Linked DNA regions of Drosophila melanogaster. The protein of the gene in region 2 interacts with the protein of the main gene of each other region in a pairwise test. Each region holds a gene or a part of one and is shown on either strand. Other genes may lie near its edges.

Region 1 (7,469 bases), 2.4 Mb from region 2:
GGCATTTTAGTCTGCAGCAGGATCAAGTCGATGGCAGCGGGTAGATCGTACTGCCCGATCTCGTGGAAGGAGAAGTCCCAGAAGATCTTGTCGCTCTCCCGACCGGCCAGGCGCTCCTCCGAGTAAACGTTACCCCTTGTGTTCAACATCCAGACGTCGTAGCCGCTTTGGGACAGGATGTAGGCCAGACCCTGGGATGGACCGAACTGCACCCAAGTGGCCGAGCTGGCCATCAGGCCATGGACCAATAGGACGGGTGTAGCTCCAGACCGCGGAATCCGATGCAGGCAGAGCTTGTAGCCGTCGGCAGTGAATGCGTAATGGGTCTCTACTTGATGTCCATATTTTGAGATCATTTTGGGCTGTCAAACGATAGAAAAATATATAGTTACTGCATGCTGTCCAAGTGTAATCTTATGAGTGGTATGGCTCACCGTCTCCAGCTTGGCGTCGATCTGGATGTCCACCTCCGCAAAGAATTGTTGGTAACTAGCTTGTTGACATTGTAAACATGACCTTGGTTCAGGCTGTGATTGAATTTGAGCTTGACTTTGTGATTGTGACGTCCCTTGACTCTGAAATGGGAATTACGCTTGATTAGGCTTCCGATTGAGAGGTTGTGATTGTAGTTTATAGGTGATTAAGCACGTCCTTACAATAAATCTTGCGACTGTGATTGAGTTTACCCTTGACGGTAAGCTTGGGTTTTTTAGGTAGTGGTTGTTCTAGGTCCAACGGATCTTAGCTGCTTTGCACTCTCTTTGTTTACCTGAATCTGTGATTGTGACTGCCACTGTGTCTGTTCATTCAATCCTTGATTTTCATCTACAGGATATGCATATGGAACCCATTCCTGAGTCTTGCTGGGTACCAAACTACCCACTAAAATTATTGCATAGATCGCAATATTAAATGCGATCGCCATTTCGTTCCCTTCTTGTCTACTCTCGAAGGCAGAAATGAAATCGAACTCTTTTATAGCGTTAATGATAAAATACCCTGAAATTAAAATATCCATGCTTGGAGTGAATAACTAGATTAACATATCGATCGAGCATCACTAAAGTAATATTTAACAAAGGGCAACCTTGATCAAGGGTTTAATAAATACATTTTTTGTATTCAAGCAGCTAGATGTAAAGATATCGTAACTTTTTAAAGGAGCTTGAATTACAGGTTGATCATAATTAATCGTAAAAGAAGATTGTACTTAGTATGATAGGTATCGTTATTCTTTAGTATTTTGTTTGATTGATTTGTGACCTCATTAAATAACACGGATAAAAACATAACAATTGTCTCTGGCCTGAATTCACCCTAAACACTGGCGACTTTTGTCGGTTTATTCATTTCCATATTTTCGATTATCATAATAAAAGTCTTTCTTTATTACAGCTGGGAAAATTGTAAAATATTTGTATATATTTAATTTCCCTTAATAAAAATTATATTTATTTCCGAGCCCTTAGGAAAAGGCAATTTCACATATGTGCCAAGCAAATCTATTAATTGATTTGCTAATATTTCATTCGTAAGCTAAAAGTTCAATTTGAACCGCACAAATCGATTACGCGATCGTAGACCAAGGATCGAACATCCTTCGAAATCGTGAAGTCGAAGTGCGAGAATCCTTCGAAGCGAATGTTCCTGTTTTCTATGCAGTTGGGCAGGTCCCGCTCCAGTCGAAGGACATCCGATTCGGATCCCAACCAGTCGCCATCTCCGCGGTGAAGAGCCACCTTGCCCAGTGCCAGGGAAAGGTTGTAAAGTGGGGGAAAGATCGACTGGTAGCGTATCTTATTCAGAATTAGCCCGTAGTCGTACTTTTGGAAAGCAGAATTGCCCTGCAATTGGGCGAAATGATAGATCTGCTTGGCGGAGCTTCCCTGCGAGGCGTGACCTTCCAAAATGGGGGATAGTGTCTACAAAAGAAGGTAATATCTGAACCCTTGAAAACAAAATCAGGGACTTGTTTTCTACCATATTGAAGCTGTTGAAGTTAAATCCACAGACCACAAATTCAAAGATGGCACAGATGCGACTGGGGATAAGCTTGTTGCAGATGTGGTTACGGAACATGTCAACGATCCGGTTTTTCAGGGAGATCTTGTGGCCGCCCAGGAGATTAAGCAGCATCTATAATATTGAATATATATCGAACCATATAGAAATGATATACCTTTTAAACTTCTCCTGTACTTACTGTGAAGCCACCCTGAAGAACTTTCATAAACTTGAGTGCTGGACTGCGTGTTCCTTCCATATAAACTGATGGCGAGAGGGACTGCATCAATGAGATCTTGCCTGCATACTCAGGTCTTTCACTACACATCACAAAGAAGGCCGTGGATCCCTGCGAGTGACCAATGTACTGGATGCTCGGCATTTTAGTCTGCAGCAGGATCAAGTCGATGGCAGCGGGTAGATCGTACTGCCCGATCTCGTGGAAGGAGAAGTCCCAGAAGATCTTGTCGCTCTCCCGACCGGCCAGGCGCTCCTCTGAGTAAACGTTACCCCTAGTGTTCAACATCCAGACGTCGTAGCCGCTTTGGGACAGGATATAGGCCAGACCCTGGGATGGACCGAACTGCACCCAAGTGTCCGAGCTGGCCATGAGGCCATGGACCAATAGGACGGGTGTGGCTCCAGATCGCGGAATCCGATGCAGGCAGAGCTTGTAGCCGTCGGCAGTGAATGCGTAATGGGTCTCTGCTTGATGGCCATATTTTGAGATCATTTTGGGCTGTCAAATGATAGAGAAATATATAGAAACCTTTATTATAGTAACTGCTGTCCCCATGGAATCTCTTGAGTGAAATGGCTCACCGTGTCCAGCTTGGCGTCAATCTCGATGTCCACTTCCGTAATGTATTGTGGGTAACTAGCTTTCTGGCACTGTGAACATGACCTTGGAGCAGGTTGTTCGTCAAGATCATCATCAAATTTGGGGCCCTGATCTTGGTCTTGACGTTGTGATTGTAATTGCGATTGCCTCTCGTTGGGAGCTTGTGATTGTGATTGATCTTGCTCTTGCGATTGTGATTGTGATTGAGCTTGCTCCTGGATTTGAGCATGGGCTTGAGTTAGTGATTGTGCAAGCGCTTCAACTGCTTGAACTTGGGATTGCTGTTGGGATTGCGTTAGTGATGTACCTGAGGCTTGAGTCTGTGATTGAAGTTGCTCTTGTACTTCAGCTTGGGCTTGATGTAGTGATTGGTCCAAAGCGGTATTTTGCGCTACATCCCCAGCTTGATCGCCTGATTGATCATCAGATCGAAGTGGTTCTTGCTGCGGTGATTGAACTTCAGATTGCTGTTGCGCTTGCGCTTTCCTCAAGGTTGTAAGAATTATACCATGAGCTTCTGATTGGGCTTGAGATTTCCGCTGAAGCTTAGTATTCGCTTGTTCTTGTGATTGGGATTGAGCATCCAATTGAGCTTGCGTCGGAGATTGGTCTAAAGCGGTATCTTGATCTCGATCCTCTGGTTGAAGTTGTGGTGGTTGAAAGATTGGAGTTCCTTGTGCTTGAGTCTGAGATTGATATTGAACATGAGCTTCTTCTAGAGCCTGATCGAGAGTCTGAGCTTGCGCTTGAGCTTGAGCCTTGTCTTGATCGTTAGTCTGTGACAGAAGTTGTTTTATTATTTCACTTTGGGCTTGATGAAGTGATTGATCTACGGGGTCTTCCTTTGCTTGATCGTCTGGTTCGACCAGCGATTGTTGCGTCGTTTGAGACAGTGATATTCCTTGTGATTGAGCCTGAGATTGATATTGAACATGCGCATCTTCCAGAGCCTGATCGAGAACTTGAGCTTGCATTTGAGCTTGAGCCTTTAATTGACCGTTAGTCTGCGACTTAACTTGGTTTAGTACTTCAGATTGCGCTTGATGAAGTGATTGGTCTATGGGATCTTCTTGTGCTTGATCCTCTGCTTGAACTAGCGATTGTTGTGGTGATAGAGGCGGTGCACCCCCTTTTTCCAGAGCCTGCGATTGATCTTGCGATTGTGCTTGATCTTGGGACTGTTCTTGACCCTCTAACTGCAATTGTGACCGCTCTTGAGCCTGTGATTCAGCTTGGTCCTGATTCTCTGCTACATCTCCCGATTGCTGTGATGATCGATTTTCAGCGTTTGCCGATTCTGGATTAATAGCCTCATCTTGGGATTGAGCTTGATCCTGCGATTGGGATTGCCCTTGTATCTCCTTTTCCAGTCCTTGTCTTTGATTCTGAATTTGAGATTCCGTTTGCGCCAGACCTTGTCTAAGAACTTCAGCTTCATCTTCAATCTGTGATTGAGCCTGGTCTTGCTTTTGATCTCCCTCTTCATTTGGTGGTACTAAAGCTATTTTTCCCGACAGTCCTCCTGGTGCTTCAGCTTCTTCACTTTCTGGATCATCGGCGTTTCTTTGTGATGAAGTTTGAATATGCGGATAAGGTTTTTCTCGTAATTTAGCTCCATCTTGATTCAGTGATTGTTGAATCTGGGTCTGTTGCTGCGATTGAGCCAGTCCTAGTTGTTGCGATTGGAATTGTTTTTGGACTTTAGTTCTGGCTATATTCGCGTATTGGATTTGTTGCTGTGATTGACCTAGACCTTGAGCCTGCGATTGTGATTGAGATTGCTTTTGGATTTGAAGCTTCGCTTCTTCAAGCCCTCGGCTAAACGATTGGGCCTGTCCTTCAGATTCAACTGAGGGCTTATAGCTTGAATTACTTTCCAAGACTATTGGTTGAGGTTTAAACACGAATCCGTAATCTTTTACAATGGATTCTCTTTGCAAGCGCACCTTTTGCTCATCTTCTGTTGAATCTGCATCGCCATTGATGTCCAATATGCTCTCAACCGCAGGAAGGATCGGGGGGCTTATAATATTGTTCAATTGATTGTTTATATCAATAATTCCCTCGCTGGGTTCCACTCGAAATATCGCCAAGAGCGCAACGAATGCGTAAAGGAATCCTAACTGCATTCTGAAACTACTTTTAGCAGCGAATCGGAAAGGAGCCTTTTATAGGCTCGCAAATGAAATGCCATGAAATTGATAACACATGGATTAAAGCGATTTTAAATGGATTATCTCTCGATGTTACATCACAAGTGGCAAATGAGTTGGGACAGCAAGATTGATGGGCTTCTTGAAAATACATTTTATTGTTACAATTCCAGGATTTGGTATTGAATAAGTGTTTTTTTTTTTGCCTTAGCTTCCCAGTTACAAACACAAGATATAGATCAAGTGTGTGGTTTGCGGATTTTTCATTTAATCGAACTTAAATAACTAATTATGTTAAGTAGAAGCTTAAGGATACACTTGATTTTTTTATTACCATCTAAAATCAAAAATAGTGAAACTGTAATTTAAAGAAGAACAATGGAGAATTTAAGGCGCTTCGGTTTGGGTAAAGTTACTGAACTTTTGACAATCTAATTGCACAAGTGCACGAGGCGCAACCGTTATTATCCTTGGTCCTTGTTTCGTCCTTGTTCCGGTGGCGTTGGCAAATTCACGCCACTCGCTTGTTTGCGCAAATTTGATTATCAAAATACCCAAGGAGAGTGCAGCCGTGGTCGGAAAAGTCGGGAAAGAAGTCGCGAAAGGAAGAAGGATAATGCCATGTCGCCGCATTAGCGCCTCTGGTGGGTCGGGTTGGGCGTGGTCGTTGTCCCGTGAAACAAGCTCGAAATTGAGTTTGCCTAGTGTCCTTGCGCCCCTTTAATACCACCCCCTCCTGTCCACCACCACTAGCCCTTTTGCCTGCTGGGCTGATTAAAGCTCCATGCCAACTTGCGGTGATTTGCTTTTTTTTTCTGGCACCATCATTTGGATGCAGTGGCGCCCTGCACAAATGGGGCATTAAGCCCTCCGATGTCGGGACCTGACATATATTAAATTTCATCTCGCCGTCAGTCGGATTCGGATGCGGAATCGGGCGCCTAATGAAGGTTAAGCAACTTTTAATGTCCCGGCCCGGGCCATTTTGCAGACCATTAAATGTTTCGCCTGGCAATATGCCATATGTTTCCAGCATGGACATAAGCCCCATGTCCGGAAAATGTTCGCTACGTTCTGCAAAAACTTTACTTATCATTTCAACGCCAAAAGCCATAAAGACGCTCGCTAAGTCTGCGTGTGTTTGTGATGACACGACGATGACAGTAATCGTAATCCTAGTCATGGTAATGATGACACTGGGGCGCTCAGCCCACAGTCATGCCATATAAGCATATGGCGGTTGGGTTCCAGGAATCAGGCTGGGCAGAGACACTTAACGGTCATGTGGAGGGCTAACGAGCGATTTCACCCTTTATGGCCAGCATTTGGATGCCATCGGTTATCGGATTCCGTCACGAGTATTTTCAATTAGTAATGTGGACTGTGGAAATCGGTTTCACTGGCGTATCGCATTGATATGATTGCTCTTTGTGTTATTAGTTAATTGTTCTGGTTGTTCAATGTATTTCCTTTGGGCTTCCCACACATGTAGTTTCACTCACCGCCAGTGTCACGCCCGATGGACACCTTCCGGAATCCCAGTCAATCGCAATTGGTGTGACTTTCGACTGCCTCAGTTGCTCCTGAACTCCTGAGTTCAATCTTCAATCGTTACCCCTTTGCACTCGAGCAGAACGCGACGCAGTCTTAAGTGGTATGAAGATTGTAACATTCGAACCTTGGTGCACTTGAACAAGTAAGATGGTTGAAATTTAACACTTTTTTTTACTTTTAGGTAAGAGATATAACTATTAGTAGATTTCCATTTTATAATTAATACCACTAGAGCTAATCTCTGGGGATTTAAAAATTACATTCTAAACAGTTTCATCCAGGAAAGCATGTTCTGAATTGATGCTTGTGAGATTTTCTTTTTCTGAGTGTATTTTTTGCCTGGTTATGTGAGCGTTTTCCATGTTCACACAAGTACAGCCCCCCCCCCCCTTTGCCGGCGGCACACCCCTCAGTAATTTCATGCTCCATTGGCCAACGAAATCGCCACACAATCAAAGGAAAAGCTTCGCCCTTTTCGTCAAGACATGAAGTTATACAACCATCGAGGTGAATGCTAAGAATTTGGCCCACATTGTGGCACTTCGAGAGTTCGCTGAAATATATATATATATATAGTATTTAAATTCACAGGCCCAATTTATGCACTTCTAAGTTTTTGAAACGAGACTCGTACATTCATTTCGGCCAGCCAACGCAACTTTCGATTGGCGTTTGTCCAGGGTCCTTGTAGCGATATTTATGCAGTTTTTCCATGGAACAAGGGAATACTATCTCCAGCTGTCGCTGTTGTTGTTCTTGTCACTGCATTCATGGCCACTTCTTTCCGCTCGCCATTTCTTTTGGGCTTTCTCCGCTCCGCTCCGCACTGGTCCACTTCACTCCACTCCATTTTTATTTATTTTCCCCGACTTTTGTATTTCTGTTTGCATTTTTTTTAAACACGTTTCTTTTTTGTG
Region 2 (5,075 bases):
TGGCCTACGAACCTAATGTATTCACCACTCCTTGCGGCGTTTGTCGTCAGTTTATACGCGAGTTTGCCAACGCGGATATACCCATATATGTGGCCCAGGCGATCGATGCGAGGATTGCTGAAAAGCAGGAACTTTTGCAGAGTGACGATCCCGTCATGTGCACCTCAATCTTTAATCTGTTGCCGAGCAGTTTTCACACCTATCGAAAGTAACGACCACTGCAGGCAAGAACCGAAAATAGGCAGAAGGTAGCTAGGTAAAGGTTGTTTCTCAACCCCTTGCTGCCTCTAATCAATATAATTTTGATCTAATCACTTGCAATAAAGAAAATTACACTACTTAGCAGTGTTTAATGTTTTTTTTTCGATCAATGAATAGGAAATGGGGATATAAATGCTGGAAAGATTGACACAGTGAAAGATTCTAGGAAAAGGTGTTTAATCGCTTTTGATTATATATCAAAATTAAGGTTATAAATTAAAGATATCGAATTTGGATTGACAACTGCTGACGTTAAGCGCAATGCAGGGAATGCCCCGATTTGTGATGACGTGATAAATGCACTCAACTTCTGATTCATAAACACCAAATTATTGTGAGATTAAATTTCGCCATTTGTATAGTAGCGAAAATAAGAAAGATCATTGTGGTAGTGGCAATCTTTTAAATCAAATTTATAAGGTTTGTTTCCAATTCCTTTGGATTCTAGTTTTTGAGATCATGATGTTCATACGAACAATAAGACAGACTGGCTAGACCGATGTCGCGATAAAGGCGCGTTCAAAACGCGTCCGAAACGCGTCGAAAACGCGCGAGCTTTTTCGACATTCTTAATTTGTAAAAATTTTAAACGTATTTAGTTGTTGTTGTTGTTTCATTAAATGCCTTAATGAACATCAACTGTAATAAATGTAATAAAAATTCAAATGGCGCTAAATAATATAATATAATCATTTTTATGAAAAAGAAACAAAAAGAAAATAATTTGTTTGACATTAGTGTTTTACAAATTGCCAACAGATACAGCATTTGCTTCTGGCTTTCAAAAATTGTTTTCGTTTTAAAAATTTGAAGTTCTGCAAAATGTCCGAAAAGCGGAAGCTCCTTCAGCGCTACATGCGGAACCTGAGCGACCTACAGGATGAGCTGAAGCGAAAAGAGCTGGAGAAGAAGATGAAGGAACTGGAAATGTTGCAGGCGAAGCTAGCTCGTCGCCAGGAGCAATCTGGCACCAAGTGCGCTGGCGGTAAGATCAAGAACTTGCGCCAGAAGAATCTTCGAAAGGTACTGGGAAAGTATATGATGACCTTGGAGGGATTTCTATGCGAGCTAGCACGCAGGGAGGCGCGTCTAAATGGCGACAGGGGTCGGGCTAGTGAATCCGAAAACCTGCCACATCCACAGATGTTGGAGGAGTACACAGTAGCGTTCTGTGCTGTTGGTAAGGCTTGGCTATAATGGTGAATCCTCTGCCATTGGTAATCAAACCGTAATCTCCAGGTGAGGATGGCCGGGAGCTGCTAGAGGCGGCTCTTTCTGCCCGTCGATGTGCCTATGCGCCCTACAGCAAATTCAAAGTGGGAGCAGCCTTCCGTGCGAAGTGCGGCAGGATCTACGCGGGCTGCAACATCGAGAACGTAGCTTTCACTCCAGGCAATTGTGCGGAGCGTTGTGCCCTGGCCAAGGGTATCAGCGAGGGCGAGAAGAAGTATACGGCGGGTGCTGTGGTAGCCTATCACCCAGATGGGTTTACCACACCTTGCGGAGTCTGCCGGCAGTTCATTTTGGAGTTCATCCAAAATGATATTCCTATCTACATTGCCAAGGCTCCGCCGCCGGAGCAAGAGAACTGCATTCCTTCAATTCCGGACGAAGCTGAAGTGCTGGTCACGTCCGCCTACCATCTGCTTCCCCACAGCTTTAACTCATTTGAATGAAATTTTCATCTAAATAATATCCAGAATTTATTTAATGCAATAAAATTATTCGTTCTAATGTCAATAAGTATTGCAAATAATTTAAGTTAGCGATCTGATTAACTTGACAAAAAGTCAAAACAATGTGTAGAGAACTAAACGTATTTGATAACTGGTTCTCCCGATCCGTAGATGCCGTATTCGCTTTTCTCCGCAAACGGAGTGACTTCCTCGTGCACGAGTATGGGCTTAACTTCTGGATCGAATTCAACCCTTCGAAATTGTGGATCCGTGAAATTAGCGCGCACCTCGGTGACCATTCCCGAATGCGGCACTCGTTTGGTGAGGTTTTGAAACTCACAGCGTCGCTTTGGGCAATTATGCGTATTACCCTCGTCACACATTGTAGGATCCTCTTCGCGGGACACTTTCTGGATGGGCGGCATCTTCTCCGTCCAATTCCAGTATGTAATATTGTCGTGGGCAGCTACTCCGCCACACAAGTCCTCGGGACCCCAGCGCACATACGACAGATTGTATGTGGTGGAGGAGGGATCAAGGTACTTGCTAAAGGACGCCTCCGAACGGTCGATGACTAGCTTGGTGGCTACCACCGGAGTGGGCATTGTTACAGGCAATATTTCCTGTTCCTCCGGCAGCTCCTTAAGTACATACGACTCATGACTGACACTAGAAATGGGCTTCATCTTTCGCTTTACAAAGCGAAGGGAACCCTCCTCAAATGGTTTCATATACTGTGTTTTCATGTTGAGCGAGGGATTTCTAAGTGCGTTGGGATCGTTATACTGGAACATCATGGTCACGTTTTAGTTTGGTGCAACATATCTCAGCATATCAATCAACTCACCTGCCACACATAGTTGGCCATGCACTCAGAAGTCGGCTTCTCGGACAGCAGCGGATCTTTTACATAAATACCCTTATCCGTAAACTTGGCGTTCAGCTTGTTACCCATTCTCAAGTCTGTAATGTGGCGATGCCCTCGATAGTACGAGGTCCTCCAATCGGGATCTGTAGCGCTGGCAGGGCGCTTGTAATCGAAGACGCCGAACTCATCCATGGCTTATGGACTTTGAAAATCTATCTAACACTGACAACAAACACAATTTTCAGCGACAATGGAAATGTGCACCCCTTGAGACGCTTAATTTGGAAACCCTTGATGTTGCCCAGTTACCGAATAGACTCCAAACAATGCTAGTATACTGACTGCTCACAAACAGCCAGCCTTCTGTACAATATTTCTCGTTTATATTCTGCTTCAAATGCAAGTGTTTACAATATATGTAGTTGTAGTTTATGCTGTAGAGAGGAATGCTTGTTTGACAAATATAAAAGCGCTCTGTTCACAAAACAAATGAATATTCGTTAATATAATACGTGGGCTAAGATAATAATGTTGCACTCGATTTGGCCTGTGCAATAATAAACTGTTTGCTTAGCAATTAAACAATTGATTTACTTCGTCTCCCGGATGTGTGTAATCGATGAGGCTTGCGTTTCAATGGGGTGTGTAAACAATGTGCGGGTGACTCATCCTTCTATTCCTTGTCTACTTCCGGCTCCCCGTCTCAGGCAATCTCTTTGAGCGCTAGCAGTGATTGGCGCAGATATTCATACTGCGTCTTGGCATGCTTGATCTCCAGCTCTGAGAGCTCGACGAGGCTGTGTTTAGAAAAGCGATAATAAAATGCAGAGCATAGCAAAATGTTTAGCAGCTGCTGACTCACCTCTTCTTGAAAGCAGCTACCCGTCGGTTGCGGAAACCGATCAACTCCTCCTTTCCACATGCAGACATAGATTCGAATTTTTCACAGGCCTCCGCCTGGGCAGTCTCGGCCTAATTGGAGGATAAACAAAAACGATTATATACAGGGAACACAACAAGTGGGCCACAGCAAGGGCATGCTAAAGTGAATACAACAGATTGAGCAACGGTGGAGCGCATGCAGCATTTACGTGGGGTGGCGACACATCTACTAAACCGACGGTTAAAACGTTAAATGCCAAATACCTCTTGCACCTCCAACGGCTGCAGAAACAGAACCACAAACACGCACAAAAAGTGAAGAGGGAGGGACAGGCAGATCAGAGAGTTGTGAGGTTGTGTACGGTAGCAATAAAATACAAGAACGCAAATAATTTGTTATTTGTAATTAGTGAAGCGTGAGAATTAATTGACCCGCTGGAAACTTTTTGTAGGGAAAACAATTGCTCTTTAAACGATCTGAAACATAGTTCTGGAAGAACTAGTTGTGATCATCCCTCAATCTTACCGCATGAACATCCTTGTTTTTGGAGCGAGCCTTCTCCAGGTTTCGATTGGCCGCTTCATAAGCAGCCAAACACCGCAGTCGCCGGATAAGTAGAGCTTTGGCAGCGTCGCTATCCCGCTGATAGTAGCGCAGAGTGTCGCCCAGCTTGAGATCTTGATCGCTAGCCACTCGGGTTTCCAGATTCTTTAAAATATCAAGAGGAAAATTTATAAAATATAATTATAGCGAAAACGCAGCGTAGCGCACCTTGATCCTTTCAAATATCTCCGCTGTCTTGGCCACAAACGTCTCCACATTTCCCTTTTCCGTAGTCGAGAGCTGCGTCAACGCATTCGAAATCTTCTGATGCGAGTCGCCTACATCCTTGTGGCGTTGCGTCATTTTCTCCGTCCTGAGTGCTGCCTCGCGCAAGTGGCCGTGGTACTCGGTAAGGAACTGCAGCTCGTTCTCAAAGAAGTCATTTACATCCCGAACCGTGGCGCTCAACAAGATCTCGTCTGTGGTCTTGCCCAGGGACTTGACAAAGCCGCCAAAGATGGCCATCTTCTTGCGTGGCTTAGCGCACAGATCTTGGTCGTATTCCAGGAAAACCTTCAAGTGCTGATCGACGCGAAAGACGGGATGACTAGCAAGGCGGCGCAGGAAAACCTCGTGCATGGCCACCGTCTTCTTGAAGGTAGCTAGGTACTCACTGGCAAGTAAAGATGTACATTAGTATATAAGAAAATGACTATTTGGATTAATTGACACTTACGCCTCCAGCTCTGACTTCATCTTTTTGAACTCCTCTTTGGTCATGTTGCCTTCGCCCTCGCCAAGACGCTGCAGCTTCTCTCGGGAGGCATCGAAGTCCGGACGAGGT
Region 3 (4,487 bases), on a different chromosome or scaffold from region 2:
CAGGGGCGTAAGCACCTCCTGTTCCCACTTGATGTGCCCCTGCTCTCGTCCATTTCCATTTCCGTTTCCATTGCAAAATGCCTGGCAGCTGTACTCCTGACCTCTCGAATGAAAAATCTGTGCCAACACCGTGAATATATCCATGGAACAGACATACACCCCACAGTTGATAAATGTGGACACATAGGAGCTAGGCTTTTCTACATAATGCGAAACGGCTCCGCTACTCCGATCGAAAACCAGACAGCCGTAGTGCAAGGATTGCTGACGTGTCGCCTCCGTGGACATGATAGTAACCAGAGCACTCGCCGGGCGCTTCTCGTGAAAGTCGCACAGTTCTTGCAGCGGAAAATCAGCGCAAACATCTCCGTTCAATACGAAGAAGGCTCGGGGGTTACCAGCTCTAATCTGATCCCGGAAATGGTACATTCCGCCTGCAGTGCCCAAGGCAGTGAACTCCTGAAGGTACCTATGATAAAGGGTAGGTCAACTTGGAACTTAAGATTCAAGTTCTTCCAAAGCCCCTCTTCCCACCTGATGTTGATGTTGCTGCTGCTGTACAGGGCCTGCATGTCGCCCACGAATCCCTCCATTTGGGTCTGCGGATAATAGCCGATGATCAGGATCTCGCGTATATCGGGCAGCTGGGCGCAGGCCTCAATATGATGGGCGATTAGAGGACGACCGGCCAATGGAAAGAGCGGCTTGGGCGTGTCAAGCGAAAGGGGGCGAAAGCGGGTGCCCTTCTGGGGACCGCCGATCAGGATAACGGCCTTTAGCATGGTGTGCGTGCAGCGGTAAGATGACTAATGACGATCGATCAACTTGTGGCCAGGTTCTCAGAAAGATATATTTTATGTTTACGTTGCCAGCTAGAAAATACTCCGCTCTACAACAGCTGATTGCGCTAACAGCCCTTGGAATAGCTGATAACAGACTTAACAGCACGCTGAACTTGTTATCTGGTAAATTTATACAAGATATTCCTTTAGCCTTAAAATCAGCAACACCAAACTCATTGAAAATGTATGGAACATTTAACACAGCTAATCTAATTTCAAAATTTAATAGCTAATTTATTTTAATGAAAATTCTAGATACCACATTTATGCGGGGCATACTGTTAATCAAGTTTCTTATCTACTGGTAAAAAAAATTATTCTGGCAACAAATTGATAAATAAATAACCAATGCCATTGCCAAAAATTAGATTTCTTACAAATCTGCAAATGAGAGTTGTAAGGATGAACACCAATTTAGTGGCTTAATATATTTTTGACCTATCGAATGCGCACTGTATCTTTGCTGGAAGACTGTTACTTGACATAGCTGGAAAGACCTTTCAATGGAAAACCTCCAGATATCAGACTTCCAGTATTTGATTTGGAACAATTTGATTTTAATCTATTTATACAACGAAAACCATTTAATAAATGTCTTTAAATACACGATAAGAACAAAGGCGAAGCACTGAATCTATGGATAGTTGTTTACAGGGTGTAAAGCAATTCTCTGGCGGTTGCAGCAATACGAAACAGTGTCCTCGAGCAGAATTCGAGGAATTAGCGCACCAGATCCTCCGGATTGAACATGCCGCGGGCGCGACGCAGAATGGAGTCCTTGCTGGCGTCGTACGGATGGTCCTTGGAGGGAATCTCCAAAACAGCGGGCACGGGCGACGTATGGGCATCGATCACATGACGAATAAGCTCGGCGCAGTTCTGGTTGATTAGAATGATGTCGATATCGTCCCGCTTAAGGAAACGCTTGAAACAGTCCTCCAGTTCGCTGACGGCCGTATTTTTGTCGACCACCATAAAGTTGGGATGGCGATTCTTGTTGATCTCGCCCACTCCGCCGAGCAGAAAGCCCACACAGGTGTCCTCGTCGCCGATAACGCTGATCAGTTTTCCCTTGATTGCCGAGTGCAGAGCCATTTCGATTGGTTTTTTCTAATTTTTTCTTACGAGCGATGTGGACAGCGAAATTAAAACCTAACTCTGGAAAATGTACGGGTCAGCTGGTCTCTATCACATGACACAGTTGCGGTCTACAGCACTGGAAGGCGCCTAACAGCACCGCATTGGTATTCTTAGTAGGTATTTTAGTACCGTAGCGTAACGGTATCTTCTGATGGTGTGACCGTAAGGCACAGTGTTATTTGTGATTTTTAAATAAATGAAAATACTGTTAAGAGCTTTAATGTTTTTTTTATTGCTAATCGAGCGTATTAGTTTTAAATGTGTTTTAAATTCCAGGAATTAAGAAGTAGCTTGCCATAAATTATATTCTGGTTTTAAGAAAAATATCCATTTTTCTGAAAATTTGGATCTAAAATTCTTAATTTTTCAGTTGTTCAAAAAGGTCAAGTTATTTAGCGCTAAAAACATTTTGGTAAAATCCCGCTCTTTCTGATAAGAGTAAAAATATTAATAGAAACAGCATTCTCATAGCTGATAAGCTTTTCTTCAAATTCACGACGCACAGCAGCTCACTTTCAGTGTGTTTGAAGGTTTTCACTGGAAATGTGCAGAGCTTGGGTTGTTTTATTCGCTTGGATGCTGACGGCGGGACGAGGATCGGCCCGCCTTTTGGACGAGGATTGTGGAGTTCCGATGCAATTAATACCGAAGATTGTAGGTGGAGTGGATGCGGGGGAACTGAAGAATCCGTGGATGGCCCTCATAAAAACCAATGACGAATTTATCTGCGGAGGATCGGTAATTACTAACAAATTCGTCTTGACGGCCGCTCATTGTATGTGCACCGATGAGGAATGCATTGTAAAGTACACTCAGCTGTAAGCACCTTAAATTAATAAATAATATAATATAATTGAATAATTATATGTGATTTGCAGCACAGTTACCTTGGGTGTGTACCATCTACTGGCGACGGGTGAACACAATCATCCCCACGAGATATACAACGTGGAGAGGGTCTACATCCACGATTCCTTCGCGATACAAAACTATCGCAATGACATAGCGCTTCTTAGGTTGCAAAAAAGTATCGTTTACAAGCCACAAATCAAACCGTTATGTATTTTACTGAACGACCAACTCAAGCCGCAAACGGATCTCATCCAGGAGTTCACAGCAATCGGCTGGGGCGTAACGGGCAATGGGAAGATGAGTAACAATCTTCAAATGGTCAAGATCTACAGAATAGATAGGAAAATGTGCGAGGCAGCATTTTGGTACACTTTTGATTACCCAATGTTCTGTGCCGGCACCGCGGTAGGCAGAGATACCTGCAAAAGGGACTCCGGTGGACCCTTGTACATACATATGTTGTTCGATGGCATCAAGCGAGCAACGCAGTTGGGAATCGTCAGCACTGGCACCGAAGATTGCAGAGGTTTCGGTATGTACACCGATGTAATGGGCCATATCGACTTTATCGAGCGCATTGTTCTGGATGCGGACATTGAGGTGGTGCTACCCTATATAGACCTACTCGATGCTGGGTGTCTGGGCAACGACACGTTGAACAGCTGGGATAGAAGTGGTCCCGATGCGATCAGGTCCTTCGAGTGGTTGGCTGAGGTCTACAAGGATTCCTTTATAATCTCAAACGGCGCACTTATTTCGAAAAGTTGTCATCTTTTCTTTCCTCATTCGAAAAGATTACTAATGTGTTCTTCTTGTAGCTTTCGTGGTGACAACGGCGCAGTTGATTTCCGAAAGTACGGCATTGTAAGTACTTTGATCCCTTGGGAGGAGAAAGTTGAGTAATCTGAGTGCAATTGTATGTACATACATCTAGAAAGGTTCAACTGGGACAAGGCGATGTGCATACCTACGCTGTCGCATCTGTTCACAAGCATCCCAAATTCGTTAGCCTGGCCCAAAACGACATAGCTCTGCTTAAACTGGGCGAGGAAGTGCAGTACACGGGTGAGTGTCTTCCAAAGGCCATACGGATTAGCTTCATAATCATAATGTGTTCATTTTATGCGGCTAGAATCGATTCGACCGATCTGCCTGCCCTCGCTAAGCAACAAAGCGGAGCAGCAGAAGTTCCAAAGGCGTGCTGCTGATCCCGCCCTGAATCTCATAGCCGTTGGCTGGGGCACGCCGACTAACGTGGTGGTGCGGCGAACAAATGCCAGTAAGTGCTACCGGGAGGATCACCAAGACATCGGAGAGCAACAGTTGTGCATGGAAAGCCCTTCTCCTCATCTCCTGCGCGTGGGCATTGGCAGTCCCTTGGTAAACCCTCTAACCCACGGAAACAGGAGGGCATTCAGCCTGGTCGGACTGGCGAGCTTTGGCAGGTTAGAGCCTTTCGCTTCAAATGTCTACACCAATGTTCTCGAATACTTGGACTGGATCGGGGAAATGGTTAAGGCGTAGAGAATTCTTTGAAAAGTTTTAAGTTCTGCGATATGAAAACCATTTGATTTAATAAAGTTAATAGTAATAATAATATCAAAAATTTCATATACTGTAAGCCCACTTAACGAGAAGTTTAAATGCTTGCAA

What was found.
Region 1: the proteins of CG8292 (region 2) and CG31872 interact in a two-hybrid assay, tested with the Drosophila melanogaster proteins (one large-scale study listed by BioGRID).
Region 3: the proteins of CG8292 (region 2) and Vha14-1 interact in a two-hybrid assay, tested with the Drosophila melanogaster proteins (one large-scale study listed by BioGRID).

The regions. Positions count from the first base shown.
Region 1 is NT_033779.5:10,637,451-10,644,919, reverse strand, and holds CG31872 (uncharacterized protein), read right to left. Parts: upstream 4,990-7,469; 5' UTR 4,975-4,989; coding exon 2,827-4,974; intron 2,744-2,826; coding exon 2,204-2,743; intron 2,137-2,203; coding exon 1,981-2,136; intron 1,923-1,980; coding exon 1,545-1,922; 3' UTR 1,381-1,544; downstream 1-1,380. Other genes in the region: CG18284 (uncharacterized protein), read right to left, coding at 1-362, 435-575, 770-925.
Region 2 is NT_033779.5:8,214,903-8,219,977, forward strand, and holds CG8292 (uncharacterized protein), read right to left. Parts: upstream 3,116-5,075; 5' UTR 2,998-3,115; coding exon 2,785-2,997; intron 2,723-2,784; coding exon 2,072-2,722; 3' UTR 1,949-2,071; downstream 1-1,948. Other genes in the region: CG8353 (uncharacterized protein), read left to right, coding at 1-212; CG8349 (uncharacterized protein), read left to right, coding at 1,084-1,441, 1,501-1,937; Snx6 (sorting nexin 6), read right to left, coding at 3,509-3,602, 3,668-3,777, 3,952-3,969, 4,214-4,396, 4,460-4,904, 4,968-5,075.
Region 3 is NT_033778.4:15,678,046-15,682,532, forward strand, and holds Vha14-1 (vacuolar H[+] ATPase 14kD subunit 1), read right to left. Parts: upstream 2,040-4,487; 5' UTR 1,938-2,039; coding exon 1,563-1,937; 3' UTR 1,381-1,562; downstream 1-1,380. Other genes in the region: Gmppa (GDP-mannose pyrophosphorylase A), read right to left, coding at 1-469, 535-782; CG30091 (uncharacterized protein), read left to right, coding at 2,526-2,800, 2,861-3,597, 3,653-3,698, 3,769-3,899, 3,967-4,358. UniProt on the Drosophila melanogaster protein: Subunit of the V1 complex of vacuolar(H+)-ATPase (V-ATPase), a multisubunit enzyme composed of a peripheral complex (V1) that hydrolyzes ATP and a membrane integral complex (V0) that translocates protons.